3 linked regions of the Canis lupus familiaris genome follow. The protein of the gene in region 1 purifies or fractionates together with the protein of each later gene. This does not show direct contact. Links are inferred from orthologs where the notes say so. Each region holds a gene or a part of one and is shown on either strand. Other genes may lie near its edges.

Region 1 (4,413 bases):
GTAACTATTGTTATCCCATTTTGCAGATGAAGAAATGGAAAGGGTTAAGTAACCTTTATTTCAACAGGTTTATTTCAACAGGTTAAATGACTTGCTCAAAATTGTGTTGAATGGCTTTGCCTCCAGCATCTGCTTTTGCCCAAAGATAAGAGTAGGGTTTTTTTTTTCTTGTTAATCTTTTGCAGGGAAAGTCTCCAGCAGAGACAGATCCCCCCCCCCCTTTTTTTTTGATGCTTTGTTCTCAATGTAGAAATATTCTTGGGAATTACTGCATTGCTTTTTATTTTCCTTTTCTCCTGTCAGCCTCTACTTCCCTCTTTTTTCCTGTTTCTACCAACAGGCTGGGAGGAGGGTCCCAGTGTTAGTGATATGTTGGATGAGCTTCTTTTATTTCAGTGTGGTACAGTTATGCTACTGAAAGCAGAAACAGCCTGGAGGGAGCAATGCATTCACTCCCAGATACATATAGCAGCATTGCTCTTGGGTTCTTTGTCATGCAGATAAATTTTTAATCCAGTGTAGAAAAACTAAATGTATTCTGTGGAAACCATAAGTTTTCATTGTGTTGGGCTTTGAAAAGTTGCAGCTTAATTTAAAATGTACTTCTTTTTTCTTCACATAGTTAATTGTTCCAGTATTGCTTAGTTTAAAAAACCAAATATTAACAAATATATTCTACATTGTTTCATTTTAAGAACCTAAGGAAATCAGTGGTCACACCTCTGGTATTAAGAAAGCTCTATGGTGCAGTGAGGATAAACAGATTCTTTCAGCTGATGATAAAACTGTCCGGTAAGTAATTTTTCTTTAGTAATTTAAAGTTTGAAACATTTGACCTTAGTGCTTATATTTTAAATATTTCTCATAACTGTATGTAGGAAGAATTATCTCTATACATTGAAAGTTAAGTTGTACATAGGTCACATTTTCTTGGAGCTATCCATTTACTGTTATAAACATAGAGCATAATCTACAAGACACTGAATTAAAATTATTGACATCTTTATAAGCATGTGCTCTTGACCTGAAGTAGTGGACACACTGGCTACAGGAGGTCCATGAAACTCCTGAAATTCTATGAAATTTTGTGTGCTGACACCTGATGTTTTTTTCTGTGGAGAAAAAACCCCAATCAGATTTATAAATACAGAATTTAAGAACTGTTATTTAGAGTGACACTAAAATTGCTAAGATTAAAACCTTACATGACTTTTAGCATAGTTTTGCCAAGAGAGGTATTTTTAAGTATAAGTTAACTTTACCAACAAGATACCAAGTAATTTAACATTGTATAGGAACCCCAAATTTCTCCATATCATCTATAATTTATGAGTTGGAATGGAGGAGGTTTTACTACAATTGTGATTATGCTTTCATTGGTTAATCTGTAAATATAATTGGGAATTAAGCTTTTTTCTTAAATAAGCTAATTATCACCTTATTTTCCTCTTCTTTTGCAGCCTTTGGGATCATGCTACCATGACAGAAGTGAAATCTCTAAATTTTAATATGTCTGTTAGCAGTATGGAATATATTCCTGAGGGAGAGATCTTGGTAATAACTTATGGACGATCTATTGCTTTTCATAGTGCAGTAAGGTATGTCCAAGAAATACCTTCCCTTTTTTTTTGGTAACTTAAAAATTGGAAGGCAGAAGTGAAAAATATATAACTCTTTAATAAGGCAAATCTTGACCATATTATATGGGGAAAATGTTTCCATACCACTAATAATGTGTATTTTAAGAATTTGATACACTAGGGAATTAATCTAATTATTTCCAGTGTTTAGGGGAGATTTATTGGTAAAATTTAGTAACTTTTAAATTTTCTTTTTTTGATTATATTTTTCTTAAAAGGATCTCTAGACTGGAATTATACTTAACGTTCATTACTGTATAAAGCTACTGTGATCTTGATTCTCTTATTCATTTTCCCTTTAACATTTTAGAGAAATAGTGATTTTTTTTCTTCTATTCCAAAGTTTGTATAGACCTAATAATGTTTTTTAAAAACAGACGTAGGGGATCCCTGGGTGGCTCAGAGGTTTAGTGCCTGCCTTTGGCCCAGGGCATGATCCTGGAGTCCTGGGATTGAGTCCCATGTTGGGCTCCCTGCATGGAGCCTACTTCTCCCTCTGCCTGTGTCTCTGCCTCTCTCTCTCTCTCTCTCTCTCTCTCTCTGTCTCTCATGAATAAATAAATAAAATCTTTAAAAAAAAAAAAGATGTAATTTTTTTGTGACTGTAAATATAGTAAATGCCCTTGTTGAAAATTTGGGAAATATAATTTTTAAAAATTTACCCACTGTTCTTCAACCATAGATGCCAGAATGTTAATGGTAGTTGTATCTTCCATTAGTTTTTTTTCTTGGTTACACATTTTTTCTTCATTATACATGTGTAACATTATATATGCATGTATTTGTGTGGGTATTTTTTTTAATTACGAGGGCCCTATAAGTGTAATTTTGATTTTTTATTTTAAACTGTTGTTAGCTATTCAAAATTGTTTGAAAATACTTAGGTTTTACTAAATTATGTATCAATTTCTCTGAAAAAGCTGATGTGAAAACTCACTGATATTCATGTGAAACTATTGGTATGCATTGATTTTTATTATATAGCTATAGTTTCAAATTTGGTTTTTCTTTCAAGCTTGATAGCAAAGATGGAACCATCTTTAGCAGTTTTATATTTTTGTGATATTGAAGGTTTTGTTTCAGAAGCTTATAAATTCTCAGCAGTTGAGAATAATGTACAAATAGTGTTTTATGTTAATTACTATAAAACATTTTCTCAAAGATAATGTGTAGTTGTCATGGAAAAATCAAACAATACAGAATTAAATTTCTTTCAGGGCAAAAATCCAGATATATTAACCATACTGTTGTGAATTAGCCACCACAGTCATTTCTAGGGAAGCGTTCATTGTACAAAGTGTACTTGTATTCCTGGAATGAATTCCACTTGGGCAGAGTATCCTTCTGGACTTTTGCTAATATTATTTAGAGGTTTTTTTGTTGTTGTTGTTGTTTTTTTAACATCACTATGTTTGACTAAATGAAAATATAATTATTTCTTGGGTTTCAGGAATTAGGAACAGTTTAAAAGTACTCTTTCCTGGTATTGTTTATGCAATATTGAAAATTCATCAATATTATTTAAATCATTTTTCAGTTTGGACCCAATTAAATCTTTTGAAGCTCCTGCAACCATCAATTCTGCATCTCTTCATCCTGAGAAAGAATTTCTTGTTGCAGGTGGTGAAGACTTTAAACTTTATAAGTATGATTATAATAGTGGAGAAGAATTAGGTGGGTTGTTCTCTTTTTCCTCCCTTAAAATGATGTGGTTACATTTATCAATGCTGGATTTCAGTAATACCTCAGTTAACAAATTTTTCAGCTAACTAAAACTTTCTATTTTCAAGTGAAAAAGGATTTTTTTCCCACTCTGGATAGAAGTATTTATAGAGCTATAAACAAAGCATGCTAAACTCTCAATTTTACCTTTTCCTTTTAACTTAAGTTCATTGTATTCAGATATTCTATACAGTAGTGCAGTGTATTTATTTGAGGGAAGGAGGAGGCAGGCAGTCTTACGTCAAAATCATGTTAAACAGATGTAAGAGTATTTGTTCTTTCTGAAGTATAATGCTAATATGTAGCTCATCTACCTGGCTTCCCTTTTAGCCAATGTAAAAATCTCTAAGCTCTATAGAGAATAGTGTAGACAAAAAACAGTTATGGTGTATTATAGGGATACCTTAGGGATCTGAATTGGAGGGGATTTTTGTTTGGTAGGGGTTTTTTTTTTGTTTGGAGTCTGACTTTTGCTTCCGTTTTCATAGTAGTCCTTCATAAAGGAAGGGGAAGGGCAGGTAAGATTAATTTGAAGTTAATCTACATCCTAACTTTACATTTATCTGATTGACTAGCTATTTTATAATCATGGTTCTCAGTATCTACTTTTAGCCTTCACAGAATTTCTTTTTGAACTAGTGTATTTAGTCTTTTTCTGTAAGCTGCTACTTGTTTCTAGCTGCCTTGCTTTACTACCCAATGAAATTAAGCTTGTTAGAATTATACACAAAGAACAAAAGACAACTATATGTTTTGTTTCTTTAGGAAAACTGATAGATTTGGGTTGGATAAATGGAAGTTTGGTGAATGAAACATAGAATCTATTATAATTGTTTATAGTTCACCCTATATTGTTTGAATATAGATGACTTTTAAATGAGAGACTTTTTTTTTATTATTTTTATTTAACGTCAGTTTTCAAAGTTTCAGAATGTTTTGGCCATGTTTTTTATTTTTTGAAAAAGAAGTAAATTATTTGCCTGAGATCTGAGATCACAGTTAGTGAACACCAGACCGTGGACCCAGCTTATTCTCATTACAAACCTCTCAT
Region 2 (4,413 bases), on another chromosome or scaffold:
AAGTCCCTAGCTCAGCGGGAGGCGGAGTACGCCGAGGCCCGGAAGCGGATCCTGGGCAGCGCCAGCCCTGAGGAGGAGCAAGAGAAACCCATCCTCGACCGGTGAGTGGCTGGCAGGGCTGACCGCGGACCACTATGCCAGGCGACTTTGAGGTAGAAGAGGGGGAGTAGCCTGGGGACAAGCAGAGTAGTGAGACGCAGGCAGGCCGCATCTCCAGCTGCTAAGCCGAGCCCGGGGGCAAGGTCAGGGTCTGCTGTCTGGCTTACTGGTGTGCCCCCTCTGCGTGTCACAGACTGAGTCAGAAATCTGCCATTTCCTTCCACTTGGGCCTGCCTAGCCTCTCCGTACCCTCATAGCCTCATCTGGGGGGGAAATGGGATAACGATAGTACCTCCCCTGTCAACTCATTTTGCAAATGAATAAGTGTAGTGTCCTGAGAACCCTGCCTGGCACAGCAGAATTGCTTAGATGTTATCTTCGGGGTCTCATAATAGCTCTCTGTGATGTTTGGTGAATTTTCTAAATCCTTTTTCATTCCCGGCACTTTTTTTTCTCTGCAGTCCTACAGGTTGCATTATGTAAATTTGTCACCTTCTGCCAAAGCAGTATTTGTAAAAGTAGCCTTTTTCTGACTTTGAGAGGCCTCCTCGGGCTTGCTATTCTGGGACTTAATCTATGTACCTTCTTCCTGTCCCTTCGTTAATCTGATAGACTTCCGTTCTCCAAGCCTTCACTTGGCAGACTAGAAAAATCTGTTTCCTTTTAGTCTTCCATATTAGTATGAGTCATGATTTGGAGAGAAGCAGGGCTCAGCAGTGGCCGGTGCTGGGTCCCTCTGCTGAGCCCTAGGTTTGGGGTCTTACCTCTGCTTGACAACCTGGAGCGGTGCCACACAGTGCCGTGGAGGTGGAGCTGGCCGGGGTCACTGCCTCAGGACAGGGTGGGCCCTTGAGCACTCCCCCTACCTCTAGATTCGGGGGAAGAGGTGAGCCTAGACTCCTGGCCCCCCCCCCCCCCCCCCCCCCCCCCCGCCCGTGAGCTTCCCAGCTCGTCAGAGAGGGAGCCAGAGTTGGCTGATAGCTGCTTTGGCTTCTGCCCCAGCTGCAGTCTTAAGATTTGGCTTTAAGATTTGGGGACCTTGGGCAGCCCTGGTGGCGCAGCGGTTTAGCACCGCCTGCAACCCAGGGCATGATCCTGGAGACCCTGGATCGAGTCCTGCGTCAGGCTTCCTGCATGGAGCCCGCTTCTCCCTCTGCTTGTGTCTCTGCCTCTCTCTCTCTCTCTGAATGAATAAAAAATAAATCTTAAAAAAAAAAGTTAAAAAAAAAAAGATTTGGGGACCTCTTGTATGTCCTTTTTCAGGCCTCCCTCTGATCTTCTTCCCTCCAGGCCAACCAGGATCTCCCAACCTGAGGACAGCAGGCAGCCCAATAATGTGATCAGACAGCCTTTGGGTCCAGATGGGTCACAGGGCTTCAAACAGCGCAGATAAATGCGTGCGGGAAAGGATGCCGCCACCGCTGCCGCCATCACCGCCTCTTGGGTCGTCCGCCACGGGTCGCACTGCCGTGGCAGACAGCTGGACTTGAGCAGAGGGAACGACCTGACTTACTTGCACTGTGACCCCCTTTGCTCCGCCCACTGTGACCTTGAACCCCATGCACTGTGACCTCCCTCCTTCCCCCCCCTTCCCACTGTGATTGGCACGTCTACAAGGGCTGTCCCAAGTCAATGGAAAGGGAAAGGGTGGGGGTCAGGGGAGGGTTGGGGGGACCCAAGAAGGACTCAGAGTAGAGAGTCAGACAGTGTCACTCGGCCACTTGGGGTAAAGCCAGTGCCAGCAATAACAGTTTATCATGCTCATTAATTTGGGATTTCAAAATACGGATGAGAACTCCCGTCCACCCACCCGCAAGTGCATGTCTTCATCACTTAAAAGCAAGTTCCATTTGAAAATGTCCTTTCTTTTTTTTTTTTTCTCCTTCCTACTTTTGTTTGTTTATACAAATAATCTGATTTGCAAGAAAAAGTGCATGGGAGGGGTTTTAGCAGTTTAATGAATTTTTAATTGAGAAAGGGTAGTTTGGTAGTCTACTTAAAAATGTTTCTGGGAAATTCACCAGAAACATTAACCAATAGGACTTTGGTGAGCTTAGCTTCTGTATTCCTACTGCCGCCCAGAAAAGGGGCAGGGCTCTGCAGCCCCCAGGACAGATGAGCACCCCATGCCTATACCTCCCTCCCCCAGCTAAGTCCCAGGGCATCTTCGCCCTACCTGGAGACTGAGCTAGCTCTATAGGCTCAGAGAGCCTGGGGAGGATGCCAACCCCACCTCTAGTATTTTGGGAGATAGGGAAAGTGAACAGACTTCCCCTACCCATACCCCTCAGGGTGGTTCCCTGCCAGCCAGGCTTGCTCCTTCTAGAAGAGAGCAGGGAGTGAGATGCACTCCGGGCTCGGAAGTAAGGAATGTGAGACTTGCTCAGTGTTTTGCTGTTAGCCCGAGGAGAACCAGGAGAAAGTGGTTCCAGGACTCTGAACCTCCTGCCCAGTGTGCTTGGAAGGTGGACAGATCTTCCCACTCCAGCAAGGCTTGAACTCTCAAGGGTCTGTGGAGCACCATCTCTGTTGATGGCACCATGCCTAGTATATTTCCTTTGTGAAATCACTACCTTGGGAGCAGACCATTCTGAATACATGTGGGAAAAGGCAAGCTGTGCATTGCAAAGATTGGTGGTGACAGACCATAGACCCAGGCCACCCCTCACCCATTTTTCCAGAGCAAGGCTCTGGAATGAAGGCAGTTTCCCCTCTGTCCCTAGAGCCTAGAGATTTGCTTTGGCTCTTTAAGGTGGGAGAGGCTAAGAGGGCAGCTGCCTAGAGCAGCTATGTGTGTGTTTGTATAACTGGGTCCTCTCAGGCTTTCTGGTCTCTTCCATTGCACTGCGCCTTATCCCTCAGCCAGCCAGGTAGCCTCTCCACTCAGCGGATGAATTTTGGAGTGGGTGATAGGACATTTTGTGATTAGGGCAGCTTGCGGTGGCCAAGGTGGCAAGCTAGGTTTTGCAGGCTCACTCCACCTTTGGTTTACCTGGCTCTCAGCCTTGCCCTGTGGGAATGTAGGTCAGGCCCAGTAAGCCATGTCCCACTGCATCTCCCGCTGAGGAGGAAGGGCCAGCTGCCCGTTGAATCAGCAGCTAGTCCACAGCATAGCCTTATAACCATGAGCAGCCAGGAAATGGTGCGTGAGCAGAGCTGGAACAGAGCTTCAGTCACAAAGAGGCCACAGGCTGTTGGGTTGTATCCACAGGCTGTTGTAAGAGGGATGATCCCCCAGAAGTGGCCAAGGAAGAAGATTGGCTGCTGTCTTTATAGTTCCACTGCCCTGACCAAGTTTCCTCCTTCTAGATGTACAGTGTCTAGCCTTCATGTAATAGTAGTTTCTGGCCCAAGATGAGACTGTCCTTTCAGTTGGAGAAGGGTACAGAGGTAGGCCAGGTGGGATGGCCAGGAATACTGATTGCTCAGCCATCGGGACCACCTGCTCTTGCCCCCTCTCCCCTAGTGGGAGTGGAAGGGAAGGCTGGCTGATGGGTGTCTGTGGATTGAGGATGTAGTAGGGACTGGTGTTCCCACCTCCCTCTGGCCAAAGATGGGGCTTTGCCCACTGTGCCTGCTACCACCCATCAACAGTTGTACTCTTGGCTTCCCAGATGGAGAGGTGACAGGCAAAATTTTAAAGAGAAAGAAATGAAAACAAGGAAATGTGTTGGGGGGAGGTGGGAGGGTTGATGGGAGAATGGTTTGGATTTTGTGTGTGGGGTTTTTTTGTTTTGTTTTCTTTTTCTTTTTTTCTTTCTTTTTTTCTTTTTCTTTTTCTTTTTTTTTTTTTTTTTTGATTGTGACTTTCCTTAAGTGCTTCTTCTTCTTTTTTTTTTTTTGTTTTTTTCTTTTAAGTAAGCTGCAGGCTTTGGCTTGGAAAACCCCAGGGGGGGTGGGGGTGGGGCAGAAACCTGAGGCTGCTGCCTGTTTATCTGCCTTCATGGTACTGTCCCCCTTTCCCCCAGCTCCTCCCTGACCCCATGAGCCAGGCCTCAGACCTTCCAGCTAACCGCTTCCCATGAGCCACTACTCTGATGTCAGCCTATAACCAAAGGAGCTGGGGGTCCAGGCCTGGTGACCAACCCTTCTCAGCCCACTCAATCAGGGTGCTCCCCACCTGCAGGCAGGAGGCAACACCCTATCTGCTACCATCAGCCCCTTCCAGAGCCCACTGCCCCGCCCTGCCCTGTCCAGCCCAGCCATACCCTGCTCTGCCCCATGTGGGGATGCTCTGCTCAGGGATGGGCGGGCAGGGCTGCCCCAGCCTCCCTGGTAAGCAGAGGCTCTGGAAACGTCCGGGGTCCTGTTTTC
Region 3 (4,413 bases), on another chromosome or scaffold:
GTGGGTATATGTTTTCAGTTCTCTTATACAGTGGAATTACTGGATTATACAATAACTAATGGTCTGAGGCACTACCAGACTGTGACTATTTTTTCCAAAGTGACTACACCATTTTACATTCCTATCAGCAGTTTAGGAGGGCTCCAGGGAGTCTACTGTTAGTAGTAAAGATTATAAATTAAATACTGAGTACATTACAGTTGGTAAGTAAAGGAAGTGGTGTACATGCTTGGTTCTTGGACTGAAATATCAGGCTATGATGAGAGTTCCATAAATAATTCATAGGATGTCAGCAAACTAACATCTTTAACTCCCCATCTTTGAATTGGTAGACTTACATTTTTTGAGCACCATCTTATTTTCTCCATTTTCTTTGAATAAATATAATTTCAGCAACTTTTGATATAATGATTCATTTGAGGTTGTTTAGTAATTGTCCAGGTATTATGGGCTGAAATGCTTTGACACTGGGATAGGAGAAGAGGCTTTGAACCTAAAGGGGAGAATTGTGATTGCTATCACTTTTTAAGCAATTGCATTTACTTTTTGTTTCTTTAGGGAAACCAGCCATTGCTCATAGAGATTTGAAATCTAAGAATATCTTGGTAAAGAAGAATGGAACTTGCTGTATTGCAGACTTAGGACTGGCAGTGAGACATGATTCAGCCACAGATACCATTGATATTGCTCCAAATCACAGAGTGGGAACAAAAAGGTATGCTTGTAAATAGTGTTTATTATCTTCTGAGCTCAACTTCTTTTTAATTTCCTTCTCATTTATGTGGATTATCTTCTGAAACTCAAACCTGTACTTTATTAGATTGCCCACAGGTAGAAGATCTCATGGTCTTGCCTGCTCTGAAGCCAAGGTTACCTGACTTTTAAAGATGCCTGCTGATGAAAGGTGGCCCTTCCAGAAAATATCATTCGTGGCCCTTCCAGAAAAATTATAATAATAATAGGAGCTGATGTTTATAGGGTACCCAGTATGTGCCAGTCATTTTAATGGGTCATACATATATATATGCTTGGTTCTTGCTTAATATATATATATATATATATATATATTCATTCTCTCAGTTAATGCTCTCTTCAAATGCTGTACTGTAGCTAGCCCAACTATTTTCTTATTTTTAGTTCCTGGAACTATACTTTCTTCCTTAGAATTTCTGCATGTGTTGTATCCTAGAGCAGACTTTGTCCTGCTGTTTCCCTGGTTTATTTTTTTTATTTTTTTATTTTTTTTTGCTGCAAAAAGCTTTATTGTCTTGTTTCCCTGATTTATAGTCACCCTTCCTTTCCTAGAGGAAGCCCTTCCTGGACTGTGAGGCGCCCTTCCCAGGGGCTCTCATAGCAAGCTGTGAAGCTGGGCCATTAAGGCACTGAGCACATTATAACTCTCCATTTACTTGTCTTTATATTCCATTGGATTGCAAGCTGCTTGAGATCAGGCTTGTATTCCCAGCATCCATTATAGCACCTAATGCATAGTAAGTCCTTAGTAAATATTTGTTGAATCTATGAGTTTTCTAAAGAACATAACTAGGTAGGTGTCATTGCCTTCATTTCACAGAAGAGGAAACAGCCCCATAGATGTTAAATAAAAAGGTCAGCCTCACCTGAAGAGCTGAGATTTGAATTTAGGCCTTTCTGACCCCAAAGGCCTTAGTGTGTATATCACAGCATGTTGCCACAATGTATCTTCACACTATTGCCTCCACCTTGGATAGAGCCAAGCTTTATTCTATCTCAGTTGTATCTGTGATTTCTGGATTTGACGAGGACTCTCAGAACTCTTGATGTGGGGATTCAAGACAGTGATTGCTACAGTTCTTCATGGATCCTGATCTGTAACTTCAGGAGGGTTTTTAAAATTCCAAAACCCTACAATGAGGCATCAGTAGGAGGACTGGCATTCATTTTTTAATCTATTATTTTGTTCCCTGGATTATGTCCTCATCCTTCCTTTTCATCCTATTTTAGTGAGAAGACTTCTAGATTAAAATATATGATCCCTGCATAGTATTTGACAAAGTGGGTGGTATATGTTAAGACATTTATAATAGTCATGATTGTTATATAGGTGTCTTTCATTGGAAATGAAGATCATAAGGCAGATAAGATAGCATGAAATTGCTGTTTCAGCTTTTCATGGCATTTAGTTGACATCATTAATTTTCAAAGCAGTGTGGATATTTAATATTTTTCTTGAGTCTAATATTTTAGTTATATAATATTGTGTGTGTGTGTGTGTGTGTGTGTGTGTGTGTGTGTATCTCCATATATGAATAGAGATACCTGAAAGGTTGTTCATCAAAGCATTAATGATTTTTCACTTTGTACTTTTTGAACTTTGAGAAAATTTCTATAAGAAGCATGAGTCATTTTAAAAAGCAGAACCATGCTAAAAGGGAAGAAAAGTCTTAAAGTTAATACCAATTTAAAAAATATATATAAAAAAAATTCTCAGTAGGAAAAGAAAATATGTGAAACAGTTCAAAAGTAGTATGGCTACTATTCCATAAAGTAAATTGCTGACTTCTTTTTTAGGTATATGGCCCCCGAAGTTCTAGATGATTCCATAAATATGAAACACTTTGAATCCTTCAAACGTGCCGACATCTATGCAATGGGCTTAGTATTCTGGGAAATAGCTCGACGATGTTCCATTGGTGGTAAATTTCTCCCCCTCTCCCAACAGTTTGTCATGAACAGAAAAGGTGGTCCAGGATAGCCGCTTTTTTTTTTTTTCTTTAAGATTTTTTTTTTTTAAGATTTTATTTTTTTATTCATGAGAGACACACACACACACACACACACACACACACACACACACAGAGGCAGAGACACAGGCAGAGGGAGAAGCAGGCTCCACGCAGAAGCCCGACATGGGACTCCATCCTGGGACTCCAGGATCACGCTCTGGGCCAAAGGCAGGCACTAAGCCACTGAACCACCCAGGGATTCCCTTTACGATTTTTATTTATTTATTTGACACTGAGAGATGGTGGTAGAGAGCAATCACAAGCAGGATGAGTGGGAGAAGGAGAAGACTCCTCACTGATCAGGGAGCCCAATGCGGGGTTCAATGCCAGGACCCTGGGATCATGACTGGAGCCGAAGGCAGATGCTTAACTGACTGAGCCACCCAGGCACCCCTGTCGTGTTTTTGTTTGTTTGTTTGTTTGGTTTTTTTCATTGAATGAAATTATACACATTAGTAGTCAGAAATTATATTCACCAGGTGATCACTGAGAGTGCCAAAGAAAATAATGGAGATAAAATTTGCAGTGGGGGGAAATGACATGATATGACATGCTTATTCTAGTGTATTCTTTTTCTATTTCCATTTGAATCTTGGGAAACATGAGAAACCAAGCCCTTGTTATCTTGGAATATAGTTATTTATAATGGATGACTGCTTGAGAGGCCACCCAGGAAGCTGTTTCTACAGCATGTACCTGGGTCAAACTCATTTTCCCCCCTGAGAGTGTGTTATTTTCTCCAACTTCTTAGCTGGAAGTTACATATACAGAATACAGTTACATTACCATTACACTAGTTTTTAAACAAGTTTATTTTAGCTGAAATTTAGTTTTAGATTGAGCACTTTTAATATTTACTTGCGGAATAGTTTCTTATACTTAGGGGCCCAGGCTTGGTTGAGACTTGGGTTTATGTGGCAATAAGAGGGAGAGCATGTCTCTGTATTATATAGCAAAGAGGACAGATCCAAGTAGAGGTAAAGGACTTGCACCCCAGATTTGCTTGTAGGATTTACATCTCCATGGTAGAGTGTATATCCCCTGTACCAAGTGAGAGGGTGAGCACTCACAGGTTAAAAACTATCATTTCTTGCACATGAGGTGAAAATGTTAATCAAGTCATCATAGCTCATAGTTAACCGTCATTAAAATAGCCTTTGCTGATCCCCTAGTGATATGTAGTTTCAGAGTGTGGGCCCAGTACCAACTCAGAGAGATGGGTTGTTGATGCTTGTTGATGCAGATGTGGATGAGATAGAGCAAGCTAGAAGCCCTGTTCCACTTCGCTAATTTATTAATGGAACCCTGAACTAGGACTCTCAGCTATTCCTGGACAAAGAATGATCTGGCATTAGCTGAGTAAATTCTTCAAAAACAATTTCTTTTAACCAATATAGGAATTCATGAAGATTACCAGCTGCCTTATTATGATCTTGTACCTTCTGATCCATCAGTTGAAGAAATGAGAAAAGTTGTTTGTGAACAGAAGTTAAGGCCAAATATTCCAAACAGATGGCAGAGTTGTGAAGTGAGTATTGATTTTGGATACTACACAATTTTCTGAACTGCTTCTGCTTGTATGTGGAAATTTGTTATTTTTTTTTTAAGGAAAATAGACACAAGAATTTTTTTTCTTTTTCTTTTTTTT

What was found. The genes of interacting proteins can lie anywhere in the genome.
Region 2: the proteins of STRAP (region 1) and SZRD1 purify together in Homo sapiens (co-immunoprecipitation; 3 studies listed by BioGRID and IntAct, counting the BioPlex papers as one, with this or other methods). This does not show direct contact. The link is inferred for Canis lupus familiaris from reciprocal best matches to the Homo sapiens genes STRAP and SZRD1.
Region 3: the proteins of STRAP (region 1) and TGFBR1 purify together in Homo sapiens (affinity purification with western blotting; 3 studies listed by BioGRID and IntAct, with this or other methods). This does not show direct contact. The link is inferred for Canis lupus familiaris from reciprocal best matches to the Homo sapiens genes STRAP and TGFBR1.

What each region holds. Positions count from the first base shown.
Region 1 is NC_049248.1:15,362,040-15,366,452, forward strand, and holds part of STRAP (serine-threonine kinase receptor-associated protein), read left to right. Parts: intron 1-695; coding exon 696-792; intron 793-1,460; coding exon 1,461-1,598; intron 1,599-3,177; coding exon 3,178-3,314; intron 3,315-4,413. UniProt on the Homo sapiens protein: The SMN complex catalyzes the assembly of small nuclear ribonucleoproteins (snRNPs), the building blocks of the spliceosome, and thereby plays an important role in the splicing of cellular pre-mRNAs.
Region 2 is NC_049223.1:80,809,341-80,813,753, reverse strand, and holds part of SZRD1 (SUZ domain-containing protein 1), read left to right. Parts: coding exon 1-101; intron 102-1,389; coding exon 1,390-1,492; 3' UTR 1,493-4,413.
Region 3 is NC_049232.1:56,544,530-56,548,942, forward strand, and holds part of TGFBR1 (TGF-beta receptor type-1), read left to right. Parts: intron 1-558; coding exon 559-715; intron 716-2,550; coding exon 2,551-2,675; intron 2,676-4,162; coding exon 4,163-4,293; intron 4,294-4,413. UniProt on the Homo sapiens protein: Transmembrane serine/threonine kinase forming with the TGF-beta type II serine/threonine kinase receptor, TGFBR2, the non-promiscuous receptor for the TGF-beta cytokines TGFB1, TGFB2 and TGFB3.